Linked DNA regions of Drosophila melanogaster. The protein of the gene in region 2 interacts with the protein of the main gene of each other region in a pairwise test. Each region holds a gene or a part of one and is shown on either strand. Other genes may lie near its edges. The genes, in order: Lk6, CG12708 and CG32369.

Region 1 (5,127 bases), on a different chromosome or scaffold from region 2:
GTTTTGCACAGTAAACAACACATATGCCTCAGCTGACGTTTTTTCCACTGCGGCATTGCCACAGCTAAAAAATAAATTTCTCTCTCAGGGCTTTTGCGCAAACGAGCAAGGGAGACAGAGATATATTGGGCTGATTTCATGAATCGGAGGAGGCTGCACGTAGGCACCACTAGATGTCCTCCTATCGATAGGCCTCGATAGAATGAAAAACTTCTCGATAATTATGGAAAATTATTATGGATCGTTGGGGGGAAAACAAGTTTCCAGCTGGTGGGCTCCAATTGACAGCGTTTTGCACTCAGTTGATTGCAGCTGCAAAATCCACTCCAGCACAACTCCTAATGGGCGCACACATTTTATATGTGTGGGAGGCCAAGCAACGAACGTCACACCAAGTGCAATAAACGTCATGAAGGTTATAATCGTAGTTTGTTCACATTTCGCCGCGTTCGCTGCATTTTGGGCACGAATACGCATTTGAACACGAGTGTCAGTGCATTACGCTCAATCGATCAGCCATCATGAGTCATTTTCCATTTCCATAACTGCCTGCACACGCTCAATTTCAATTTCTCGGTCTCGGCTAGCTGGCACAGATACTAGTGCCGTCTCTCTCACTTCGCCGGCAGCTTTGGTGGTGTTGGTGGAATGGCAGGGAAAAGGAATACCCTTTTGTGCTTGGAATCTAGTATTGCTTAAATTGATAATCATATTATGCGAATTTATACCAGTCAACTGGTCTAATTACAAAGGGTAACTATTGGTGCTGAAATCTACATATGTATGTGTGAATATATTCCTATTGTACAGCAGTTTACCCATATGGATTTCATGATTTTTCAAAGCAGCTCACTTATGCCCGATTTTATAGGATATTAGTGGAATTAGTGGATGTCAGTGGTCCAACCCAACCGTATCTAGCATATTTACACAACAATCTGTCCTGTTTCATAAGATTATCTTTGATAAACACAAAGTATGGACTATAATCACTATCTAAACGAAAACAACAAACTTCTAGTTTAACCTCCAGTTAGAATATGACTAATTAGTGGATTTAGTTGATCTTTGTCATTGTTATTTTATAGCATATATCAAATCCCACATATAATTAAGAACTTGTGTACAATAATAACACCCCCAGTGATGGTTATAAAGTCCAGATGCTGGAATACCCCTAAAATTAGGGCACATACACACTTATATTCAGCTTAATGGCCCCAGTCGAATGATGCAATGGGGTTCTCTTGGCGAAACAAAACAACTGTAAACACCACACAGACTGTGCGGGGTGGGTGAAGGGAAGCGGAGTGGGTGGTGGGGTTGGGCGCCGGCAGGCAGACAGCATGCATGTTCTCGAACATCGTGTGACGTCAAGGAAATACACTGCGGCACCCGGTGCGCAACGTGGCCCAGTCAGTCAATGCTCCCTAGTTCGTTCGATTGATTAGCAAGGGTAAACGAAACGAAAGTGCTGCCTGGCCCAGCTTTGCCGATAACTGACTAGAAATCCACTGAATGAAAGCGTAGGAGCAATGGTCGGGTCTTTTCTCTGATTGGTAGTCAGTCCCCACCCAATGACAAGCAGAATAATACATACATATGGTTAGGAACTTTAGAGGAAGTATAACTTCCGATACAAAATATTACATTAACGTATATCTTTTTTTTACCATTGCATTTTAGCAGAAATATCCTACAAATCGTATTTTATAGGTACAACTTTAAGAAGCAAAGAACGTTTGTCACATTCTCAAAATAATAATTATATGCTTAAATAAGGCTTTTGTTTTCTTTTGGCATGCAAATAACTGTTGCCTACGAAATATACTTTATATTTAGGCAATACAACAATATTACGACAGAGATACAGGTGAATTTCCAATAGGTAGAAGTTCAAATTTATACGAAAGAGCTGCCAAATTCACAGTCAGAGCAAATATTTGCAATTATTTCATCATTCTGTTAACATGTTGTCTAGTTAAAATTAAACTGGTGACACACGAAGCGCAAATATGCGAAATCTCTTCAGAAGGTTTCCAAAATATATCTCATGCATCACAGTTTGCTTCTCAGCTATGGGAATTTAGTGTCAAACTCCCAGAGTTCTAGAAACTCAAATTGCTCACCTGACTGACTCTGGCTGCAGCTGTTGTCCGTGTTGCTGCAGGAAATGCCGCTGCCACTCCGGATGCCGCTGTCCCCAGATCCACGGGGGTGGTTGTTGTTATTGTTGTTGCTTGCTTTCGCAGCAGCGGCAGAAGCAGCTGTCCCGGACTTGGGCTCCACCATGTTGTTGCTGTTGTTGTTACTGTACGGTGCTCCTGGACGCGATTAGAGTGAGACAGGCAGAGTGCTTACAAGCTGGAAAAAGGGTTTACGGTGCAACAAATGAGCAGCAGTTTTTCTCAGTCTCTCGTGCTCTTTCCTCTCTTCTCGTTCAGTTCATTCAAAATCAAAATGGTGGCCGCCTATGGGATTTTTGTGTTTTTAATACAATGCGGCGGTTGATGAAAAAACTGATTCAATTCTGCTGCAGATGCTCCTCTCTCTCTCTCTCTCTATCTATCGCTCTCCGCTGTTTATTTATTCTTGGTTTGGTGGTTGAGTCGTCGTTGGTGTGGCTGCTGTTGTTGTTGTAATCGATGGCTGCTGCTGATTTCTCTCATCACACAGGCGAAAAAAGCTCAAGCAAAAAATGGGGTTTATCTATTTGCACCGCTTTTTTCGGTTATCTGCGATATTTTTTGTTTTTTTCTTCGGGTATTGCGATTTTTGCGTTTCACCTCTTCTTTGTGGGCTTGGTGCAGTAGTGCTGTTGCTGTGGTTGTTGCTCTTGTAGTTGTTGGTGAGATGGTTGTTGTAGTGATGGAGGCGTTAATTTAGTTCTATTTTATTTTCCGGAGCTGCTGGAGATGGCTGGTGTGGCGGTGGAGTTGGTCGTTAAAATTTCCTCTGCTGATTACAACACAAAAAAAATCGCTGAATAGCGGACAAAAGCCGTTTTCTTTGCGTATTTCGCTTTAAGTTTCCTTCCCAGCTACCGATCCATTTTCAAAGTTCGAATGATTCCGACGAATGACGACGAATTCATCCGTGTGGCCGGAGGTACCATTTTGGTAGGACCGTTTTTCGGGCCAACGAAAATACCACAAGACGGCAGCGACACTAGGGTTTTTTGCTTCAAATGTAGTATGGCTACGCAACTCACATATGGTTGAGAACTTCGCTGTTTATTTGGTGGTTAAACTAGCTAAATACAATAAGAGTGGCAACGCCGTCACGTTTTCTACATGTATTTTACTTGGCGTAGTGCGCCAAGCTTATAAACCACAGTTGGGCGGTTCTTTTGAATTGTTTAATTTACACCCCACTATGAAACTTATTAGCCTTCTTTATTTATTTTATATTTTATTTTTGGGAAGAATACGTTTACTCAAGGTTCGCAGCTTGTCAATCAGTATTCGCAAATATCAATAATAAAAGGCATCAATTTTCCAATCAGCAGTTGAAAAGAACTCCCCTCGACATTTGAACAAAATGCATTTTTGGGTGATTATAATTTATTAGAATTTTTATTGACTTAAGGTAAATATAAATAAAATATTATTCAAGTACAAAGTTATATATACTCATTAATATTATTTGATTCAAGTAAATATATTTCAAAGTGGCGGTGTTTTATTATATCATTTTTCAATTAAGTACAATTTACTGTTCCTGCTCTATTTCTATGGGTTCGCAGAGAGTCCAAAAGTACTCTTAACACTCGGTCCTGTAAGGTGTGTATAATTTTCGGGCAGGCCATTTTCGGATTTGGCCCGACCGGAAAATATTGCGAGCCATTGACGACGCACCTGCAAGTTTTAAACCTGGCTTATTGACTCGTGATTTCCTCGTCTTTGAGACCCGGGGATCGAGTACTTGTGGGTACTTTGCGAACCCGGACTTCAAACCTTGCCCATGCAACAATTGTATCTTTGTGTAGTTTACGTTTAATCAATGAATTTGGATCACAAACAGTAAATACGTCTTTAACGATAATTGCAGTTGAATTAAACATATTAAGATAAGGGTAGTGGGGTGGGGGTACCTTTGTTTTAATTATAAAAATATTATATCTGCATTTTACATGTTTTTGTTTCGCTACTATCGTTTTTGCTCGAAATTACATAAGTCCAGCCTTAAAACAAGTAATTTTCGTCACCAATCGCATTCGCGCACGCTCCATTATCCATAACACTCGGTTTCGTCATCAATTCAATTCAATTCAATTTTGCATTTAAACGCTACGTTGCCTTAACTTCAGTCCTTTCGCAGAAAATCTAACCCTTAAATGTATTTAGCTCTTCGCCCGTCGATCCTTTTTCTTCCCTCCTTCCTTCCTTCACATCCCCCGCATGCTGCAGACACTAAACATAAATTCAATACGTACAGTTTCAAATTGGATGCGCGGCATCGTATCGTCGTTTAATGTAAAAGGTGTAATGCTACGCGCCCTTTTCGTCTGATCCTTGCCCTAAATGCCATCCTAGGGTATTAATCCATCCACCTCTAACTACAATTTAACTTCTCTTTGGCCGCAAACCCCCCGCATTACTTATTTAGCTCCTGTAAATATGAACTGCTTATGTTTCGCTTACGCTCCTTCGATCATTTTTGTGTTTGCTTTTGTTTTTGTGTTTATAATTTATTTAAATGCACTAAAAGTTGCACGGACCGTTTGCCAGCAGCCTGTGAAGTCGATCGTCGTCGGTTCGGCTGTGTTGCGATCTAGATCTATCCTGTAATTGTCGATTTTATACCTTCGATAAGCCAATGAAGTGTGAGAAAATATGTATCTATTTCGTCATTTGTTTGTTCGTTCGTTATGCATTTTAGTTGGTTGATGATGGTTCGTTTTGCGTTTATAAAATGCCAAAATTTGTGCAAATTTCTAAAACATTTTTAGTTTGTTCTTCTCGTATTATTCTAAAATATTTGTAACTTTAAAATGTACTTCCTCATTAGATTAAATTTTTCTTTTCTTTTCTTTTCTTTTGTTTTGTTTCATTTTTCTTTTCTTTTTTCACTTCGTTTAAAATATTGCATTTTTATTTTATGTTTTTCTTTTGGAGGCTTTATCCC
Region 2 (4,508 bases):
GGCTACAAATTTTGTATCTTAATTATGTAAGGATTATCTACGAAACTGGGTTTGCTTCATAACTCATCACTATGATTTTATGATACCTTCAGAGAATAGTTTCCGCTGAAAGCAGTGGTAAATCGCAGTTTCCCGGGTGAAAGTTAGGCAACTTCCTTTTCCAAAGGTCGCTTTGAGCTAATAACACTCGAATGGAGTTCCGAGCAAGTGATACCTGTTCCATTTCCAGGTACTAGACCTTATCGCGTTAGATCGCACATAACTTGGCTGGCTGCCTGCCCATCGAATTCGTGGGCATTTGAAGCGTAAATAATATTTTTTTTCTTGCGACAATTGTCGCACAACCCCTTCCTTTTAGGGCCCTCATTACCGCCAAGTTCTATGTTCCATGTTGCCGAGGAATCCCCTATAGCTCGCTATCGGAGCATTAAAACGCTCATTAACCAGCTCGCTGTGAGAAAGAAGACCACTTGGGCAGACGGATGAGAAGACCCAGACCCTCTGCTCTGGAGGAATTGCTTTCCACGCACCGCTGAGCTTCAAGAGGTGTTTAGCATAAACTGCTGGTGGTTCCTTGTGGTTTCAACCGAATTATGACAGTGTGCCCCTCAGTGAATTTGGTTCTTTTCGTACATTCTGCATTCCAAATGATTTATTCTGGCCAAAAAATTAAAAAAAAAAAAAACGTTCTTAGGGCTATGAAAAAAATGTCTTATGCCTATGGTATAGGAATATCCTTGAGGATTAGCTTTCTTCCACCAGGGAGAAGCTGAGGCGTCTCTTCGTGGCGTCTCTGGCCTGCACTTGCAACCACATGGCATCCAGCTGACAGGCATCCTCCAGCTCCTCGCCACCCAACTCCAGTCCGCGACTCAGCTGGCAGTGCTCCTCCTCCAGCTCGCAGTCGCTGGTGGAATTGTGCCCACTGTCCGGACTGATGTGGCGCATCTTCTGGGCGGGAGCTGCTATGGATCCGGACCTGGCCGCTGCAAGCAGCTTCTGCGCCGACTGCCTGACGCTGGAGGAGATCTTTGTGGTGATCTTTCGCTTGCGCCGCACCACCCGCTGCCTGCGCAGCTGCAGGGAATGCCGCTTGGCATCCTGCGATTCGGATACGGTGGGCACGGGGGAGCGCACCTCCCGCTCCTCGAAGCCCTCCGCTGGCAGGGAATCCCTCCGCGAGGGCGACTTCCAGTACTCGCACAGATCGCTGGCCGGATCGAAGGCGGGGCGGTAGGTGGGCGATGGCGTCTGGGTGGGGCCGTGCCCGTGTCCGTGGCTGCTCCGGAGCACCTGCTGCCTGAGCCTGTGCCGCTGGCGGAGATGCTGCCTGGGCTGGCGGTGCTGATGCTGGTGCTGTTGCTGTCTGGCGTTGGGCAGCACCTTGCGGTTGCTCTCGAGGATGGCATCGATCATGCGCTCCAGGGTCACATCGCCCATCTGGCTGGAACTGAGCGTATTCTGTTCGCCGGTCGGAGGTGCTGGATGCGGATGCGGATGTGGTAGTGGCTTCTGCTCCAGGTAACGCGGCTTCTCGAAGTAGCTGTCCGGGATGCCCATGCCGCGCAGGGCGATCAGGGAGCCAGGAATGATGGCGGCATTGGGCGAGTACTCCGCCTCGAAGGTGGGCAGTGTGCAGGCGAACTTCAGGGGAACAGCAGTTACACCTCCAGTTGCCCCATTAGCGCCACTTGCTCCTCCCGATGGCGGCGTGGCCAGGATGTTGCTGAGGTCCTTGAGCAGTGGTGTGCGCGCATGGAGGCTCAAGGAGCTGGCCGGCAGTGGCGTGGAGGTCAGCTGGTTCTCCTTGCCTGGCGCCACTCCGATCGACTTCCTCTTGAGTTTGCCACGCAGGGCGTGGAACTCGCTGTAGCTGGAGCCGACTGCCTCGCTGCTGGTGGCCATCACCTCATCCCTGGCCAAGTACGAGGGTCGTGGCTGGTTGACGGCCCACTTGAGCATCTTCTTTGTCTGAAGTTTTAGTTTTTCGGTTTTGTAGTGGGTGCTGCAAGGAAAGAGCAAAGGAATCTGGTTAGGAAGGGGGCGGGTATTTCTGGTTCTGGCATTCCAGAACTTGACTTTCTTAAGGAGCAAATAAATAAAGAGGGCAGCGGCAAAGTTGTCGGGCGAGTTTTCGGCAATTTTGGCGCGCTTTTTCCGCGATAAATGTGCATGTAGACAAACATACATATATACATGCATATGTACATATGTATATGGATGTGTATCGATTTGGCGAAATCAGCGAAGCGGCAAAAATGAAATCAAAAACGAAATCAACCACTCCTCTCACGGACAATTAAATGGACGACGGGCAGCCTTTGGTCTGGACCTTAATAATTTAATTGACTCTGAACTTGATATGCTCAATTATTCTTATGAAATCTTAATGAACTTTTAGGTTGCATTCAAATTTGGCTCTTGAGTGGATACCAAAAAACCAAAAATCACAAGTTATCCGAAAAATTGAATTTTTGTGCATTTATAATTGCATTGATCCAGTTATGTTGGGAATTATTTGAAAAGATATTCATAACCATTAATGAATGAATTCATGAATCTTACAGGCACTTAAGTAATTTATTTTAGGTATATCCATTTATTTTTATGAGCCTTTAGATCTCATTGTACATGACTGCATTTTTAGTTTCAGTCATCTTTAGATGTTCACTTGAATTTACCTTTTTCAGTAGTTTATTTTTTTCGGCACTGATATTTATTTCCAACAGCAAAAAAATAAAATAAATGGTTCGCGGATTTATTTTAAGAATTGATTATTTGGTAGTTTGTATATGTAGTGCTTTTTTTTTGCCAAGTGTTGCGTTTCAACCGTCGCGTTTTTCTGGCAAAGATCGACTGCGTGCGTTCCCTTCGCCGGTTGTTGGTTGACTGACTGGCTAGCCGCCTTAACCGGGAGAAAGCAGAAGGCGACGAACGGACATGTTGCTCATGCGCAGAGGGAAGAGAGCGAGAGCGGAGAGATCAGGCAGTTGAACGGCAGGCACGTTCAACCGGCGGCATTGAAAGCGGGTGGTGGGAGACCACTCGTTGTTATAGTAATTAAAGGTATTTCGCATCTGATATCAGTCCACTTGACTTTAATAACTTATGCAAGATACTTTGCAACATTGATAATAATATAAATTATTTAAATAAGTTGTAATATTCGTATTTCTCACTTTTCCCATGATAACAACTATAACTAAAAGCATACCCTTTCAATACCTTTTATCGAATCTGGTATATATATATATATATATATACAATTACCTCTTCTCGTAGACTCGTACTTCCCAAAACTATCTAATATATTTCTATTTATTAGATAATGCGATACAAATTGAAAAGCAGAAGGCTGCGCTTTGATCTACATTAACGTTATCTTGATGTTCAGTTTTTATAACCGTTTACCGATCGATTTACGATCTGGCAACAGCTGTGCGAATTTTCCACGATCGTGAGATTTTTTATTTGGCCACCGAGAAGGATCATGATCAGTTGGCCAAGGATTCCTACGTGCAACAAGAAAGGGACGGCGCTTGTGAAGCGTGTGAGTGGGACGGAGCATAGTTGGACAGCTGTTCTCATCGCCGCTTGCGCCACAAAACATAATTTTCAATTACCTTTCTCGCAGCGTGTGGCTCCTTTCACCTTGGACTCCTCAAGATACCCTGTGTTTTTTTTGGGATCCTGAGAGTATGCTAGACCTGTGATTGTGTGGGTTACAGGAAGTTAGAACAAAACATTGGGTCTTAAAGGATTTTTAGTTTTTCATTTGATATTGAAAAGACTTTCTGTTGTTGTTTAAACAAGTTCATCGGAATAATGATTACAATTATTTAGTTTAATTGATGAAACTGTTTTGCATCATTTGCCAACTTTTTCTAACATAAATATATAAAAGGTTTAAATAATAGGTATCTTATAGTCGTTAGACCCTAGCAAGGCAATTCTTTCCGATTTTTCCTTCCTTCTCTCACGATTTTCGCCAAGAAAAGGACAACACAAACAGGAACTTTGGGCATTGTACAAATTTGGCCCATTGTTTATGGGACATCGCTGTCCTGTGGAAATTGTTGTGGAAAATTGTGCAATTGTTTTGCAATTTATTGGTTAAAGGGCTCCCGGTCCGTCCTGCTCCTACCTTCCCTCACTTTCCCTCCTGCTTTCTCTGCTGATCTCAAATTTATGATATTTTCGCAGCCGCCGATTGTCCGTTTGAGAAAAATAGAATTAAATCTCAACCGTACATCTGCCCAATTCTTCAGTTTTGGAATCTTTACTATTTGCTTTCGCCATATTATTGCTTGCTAAATTTATTTGACAGTTTTTGTGCAAAAACTAAACACAACTTTTTGTTCGCTGAGGAAGTGCCAGGACCTGCTTTAGCATTTCATATGACACTGCAGTTCCGGACCACCAAGTGCTATAGGATACAATTTATTGCAACTGGTGGTGGCACAATTAAATATGCTCAAGTGTTGTGAGTTCATCGAGTTCAAACAATG
Region 3 (4,691 bases), on a different chromosome or scaffold from region 2:
AAAAAATAAATAATTTGTTTGTCAGCTTCACACACCTATTTCAAATTCAGCTGAACCAAAGCCCAAATCGGTGATATACACTATTATGCAAAAAACATAATAAAGCAAAAAAAAAAAACTGAAACTAATTTCCTCATATATTGCTTACAAAATAAACATTTCAAACATGAAACTCGCAGCTAATTTCCGTTGATGAACAACAAAAGCAGCGCCAACTATTTGAGAAATGGGAGCTGTATAACCGGTACACAGTCAAAATTTAATTATATAATTGTACATGGTATTAAAATATATGGTACTACTAAAATAACGTTAATTGCTAAACAATTAAAGATTATTGAGATTCTACAACTCAGAAATTTGAAAATATATATTAGAATAAATTTTGTTAATTTTAATATGTTTTAATCTGTAAACTTTCAAGCTTTGTTTTTTTTTTGAATGCAGGCTTAAACCAGACCCAGACCTGAGGCAAAGCAATTCGATTACTTCCCTATGGGGAAATGTTGCAATAAATGCGAGCAATGCTCAAACATAAGCGGACTCCACTCGCCCGCCCCGCATATTTTTATACTGTCCAAGACTTACGAAAGCGAAAAATGAGTTAACAACAACGGCCACTCAAAATGTTAATGGAAACGCAGCAGCAGCAGCAGCAGCAGCAGCATGAAAACTGGTAGTATGCAGGCAACCGCTAACAGACAACGTTGAACTTGAGCTTGAAATACAAGCCAAGCGGAGCCAAAAGAGAAAGACGGGAAGTAGGGGGAGGGGAAGCGATACGCGGTTGTTATAAGCCAAGTTTGTCGACAACTGCATTTGTTGATCAACCCAAATGAGGTCAACGCGTCGTATACGTAATTTGCGTTAAATGACAAAACAATATGTAATAGCCACACAACACTTACGAAACGCAGATATTCGATATTACAGACGAACTTTAACAACTCTGAGCTCTATCGGGATAGGAAATCTATAGCTTCAAAACCTGTTTAAGGATTATAAAATTAATACATCTTGTAATGACATGTCTGAGAATTAATCAACTTATATTTTCACAGTTTAATCTATTGTGTATTTTGTTATACAAATTTCGTTATTAATTTTATAAGTTATTTGAGTAAGCTTTTATTCTATTTTACATAATCTAAAAACTATATTTGCGTATTAAACAAAATTACAAAATTTTATATATGTAATTTAGTTTAAGTAACAGAAAATCGACCGTATCTGTTGTGATTATTGATGTTTGCTTGGTGTTTATATGGCTGTAGTCTGTTGAGTGGCGCCGGAAATGCGCATCATACGATAAATGACGCCCACTGGCAAACTAGCACCCCCAACACCACCCACTATCCCCCAACCCAATAGTTTTGCAAATCACCCACCGCAGCCCCCGCTGCCCCATCATTTTTCTTGGCGTCGCCTGTTGTGACAGTTGACGGTTTGCCGGCAAAAATTAAAAAAAAAAATAAAATGCCAGAGAGAGAAGTGCTAAACAAAGAGAGCTCAAGGCACAGACATCGATGACGCAACAGACACATCCACGGAGGCGTAAGAGAGTCGACCCCAAAAGAGAGCGCCAATTTTTCGCTCCAAGCCAACGACTGACTTTTCACAGCAGTCATTCGCTGTTGAACAGCGGCCGTGGCAAGTTCAGACAGCAGGGAGAGTTTGAAAAAAAAAACCAGGCCGTAATACAAATACAAAAAGCAAAATAATAAAAATTATACAAAAAAAAAGTATGAATAATAAAAAAGGCAAATAAAAAAGCAACAAAGTGGAGCGCACCCCATAAGCAAATCATCGCCGAGCCACTCGAACACGTTGCCGCCGTTGCTGCTGTTGTCGCTATTTCTTTCGCCCAGTGCGTTCGCTCTCTCTCTTTCTGTCTCGTCGCGTAACGTAAGCGTATTACAAAACAAACGCCAACGTAATCAAAGAAATAAATAAAATAAAATAAAGGTGCTCGCTCGCGTGTTTCTCGGTGTGAATAAATGAAATAAATAAATTAGTCACAAAATATAAAAAGGGGGTCCAAGTGCAGCCCCCCCCAAATTGCCGCACACCCTTTACGAGAAAGAAAGAAAAAAAGTTAACCCGTGTGTGCGGCGGGGTTACGTAAAGCCGACGGACAAGCGCCGTTCCAAGTTCTTACAAAACAAAAAAAAAAATATATATAAATATCAAACAACACATAACACGAGTGAATAGATTCCCCAATTCGATTTTTTCGCACGCGTGTGGCTATAAATTTTTGGCAAACAAAAATATATACAACTAAATACAACAACAAAATTTTAAATAAATTGCAAGAAGAAGAGGGAGAATTTCGTGTGTTAGTGTGTGTGTCTGTGTGTGATTCTTGAGCAACAGTACACGCCGCACCCCCCGCGAAAAACCTACCCTTTTTTGGGGAAAAACAAGGAGGCGCGGTTCAACAGCGACAGGTAATTCCATTTCTGCGCTCTCTTTGCCACTCTTTCGGGTTCTCTTTGTGTGTGTTACGACATCAAACCACATGCTATGCCTCTGTTTTCAATGTGAATGAACGCTCGACAAAGTTGCGTTTTCAAAGATTGGCACATTCAAGTCTCTCTCTTAGTTTTTCGCTCTTTGTCGGGGAAAACAGTTTTTCATTTGCTATCTGCAATGATTGTGAAAACAAAAAGTGCACTGCTTGAGTCTAGCGGAGGGAAAACTGCAGGGGCGGCTCTTACGTGTTGCCATATTTTTAAAGGCATTACTAAGCGTTTTTTCCGCGCTGCTTTGTTGACGTTCTGTGGCCAATTGAATTCGGCCTGCACTTGATAATCATTTATATTTAATGTGTGATAAAACTTCCGTGGAAAAATATATATCTTAACGATTTCGCGATAAATTAGCTCAGATAAGCAAAAAACAAATGGTGGAAAGAACGATTTGGGAATTTTAAAAGAAGTAAAATTAAGAAAATAAACAATTCAACCTCGTTAAATTATAGTTGACACAAATTTTATATACAAAGTTAAAGTATATAAAATATAACTGGTAAAAAAAAACGTCAGTTTTTTTCATTTTCATTTCATTCATTTTCCTTGAATCTGTCGCGTTGTCATCGCTTTCGTAATTCTCTGGTTAACAGTTTCCAATCCCCGATAATCTACTAAAGATTCGCCAATTTGTCGGGGTCACCACCCAATATTCGTCAGCTACCAAAGCGAGAAACTGGGCTCCTTCCCTCTCCCCCCCTCGACCGCATATGCCCCTCTCACTCGGTTGACGTTTAGCGTTACGACACGCAATGTACTACGAGTATTATGCGACGTTTGCTGCCAATGAACAAGCCGCAACAACACAGTTCGCCCACTTGGCCCAAAACGAAAAACGCCAAAGGGGTTGGGGAAATGCTGAAAAAATATGGTTAGCTCGAAAAGAGGAAAAACCTATTTGCATACGTCATCGGGCGAAAAAGGTTCGTCATGACTCAGAGTCGAATATCGAGGAAGCCAGACTTCAAACAGCTGGATCGTTGTTATATAAACCAAGTCAAACACTACACCGAACTTATGTAAGGCCCAAAGGGACCGGGCCAATTAGTCACAGCGAATGTGGGGGTTCTTGTGTAATCGGTGTGAAATCAAAACCGAAAACCTGAAAAATCACAAACTATGTAGAAATTTTTGGTTGCTAATTGGCTTGCCTCAATAAATTCTTCAGCCCAGTTTCTTTTGTAGTTATTTTGAGCTATTTATATCAGCGTTTATCGCCGTCGTCATTGTCGTCCATTCGAATACAATGTCATAAAACGTGTGAGCCAAGCAAAAAACGGCAAGACAAATGAGAAACCAATAAAACAAATATCAAAGAAGAAATCAAAATGTACAAAACCAAATAAACGCCAACATTAAGGCAATGAAAATGTATGCGATTTCATAATTACGTCGAAAACTACCATCGGAGCATAATCACTTGGTTATGCAATTTATTGGCTTATGTGGCGTGATTACTTGGCGATTAAAGAACTCTATCAGAAGTTCTTGGGATTTTAGGAAATTGGTGAAAGACTTAAACAACTTTGTAGGAATTTCCACACCTGAGCTGTTGCTCATATCGTATTTGGGTACATGAATGTTCATGAAGATGAATCATTTGTTGACTCATTTTCATAAGATAGCAATTTCATAGTTGATACAGAACAACTGTCGTTTTCAATCAGTTCTTTACAAGCAAGCAAATAGTAATTATTTCAACAATCGCTCAATGAGTTTATCACATTTAGTGCTGTAAGTTCCTTTATCGACTTCAATCACTGCGCGCCTACAATCACTTATCGGACTTAAGGCAAACAATGCCTGAATTCAGTTGACTTAGAATACTGACAAACGCCGTTGTAAATGTAGCTATATACACATATTATATGTCAACGCTGCCATTTTGTCTGAGTGACGACGGACAACGGTTGTTTGTATCTACGATTGACATTGCATAATATTGTGAAAAATAAAGCAATCTACGCTATAAGCTATTGCCCTGAGGGCGTGTTCAGGTAGCCGGGCTTCACATATTTGTTATTCACTTAGGAACAATTTATCGGATACGGATTATGCAATAGGACTTTACGTACACGGAACTGCAACCACGATTGCACCAGGATGCACGTGCAGTTATATGAGGCGTATACATAATTTTTACTTACGCAAAGCCGAGCG

What was found.
Region 1: the proteins of CG12708 (region 2) and Lk6 interact in a two-hybrid assay, tested with the Drosophila melanogaster proteins (one large-scale study listed by BioGRID).
Region 3: the proteins of CG12708 (region 2) and CG32369 interact in a two-hybrid assay, tested with the Drosophila melanogaster proteins (one large-scale study listed by BioGRID).

The regions. Positions count from the first base shown.
Region 1 is NT_033777.3:11,761,355-11,766,481, forward strand, and holds the start of Lk6 (Lk6 kinase), read right to left. Parts: upstream 3,104-5,127; 5' UTR 2,293-3,103; coding exon 2,130-2,292; intron 1-2,129.
Region 2 is NC_004354.4:15,673,861-15,678,368, reverse strand, and holds CG12708 (uncharacterized protein), read right to left. Parts: upstream 2,894-4,508; 5' UTR 2,682-2,893; exon of another isoform or gene 2,566-2,681; intron 2,006-2,565; 5' UTR 1,963-2,005; coding exon 745-1,962; 3' UTR 632-744; downstream 1-631.
Region 3 is NT_037436.4:7,806,756-7,811,446, reverse strand, and holds the start of CG32369 (uncharacterized protein), read left to right. Parts: upstream 1-1,621; 5' UTR 1,622-2,450; intron 2,451-4,691.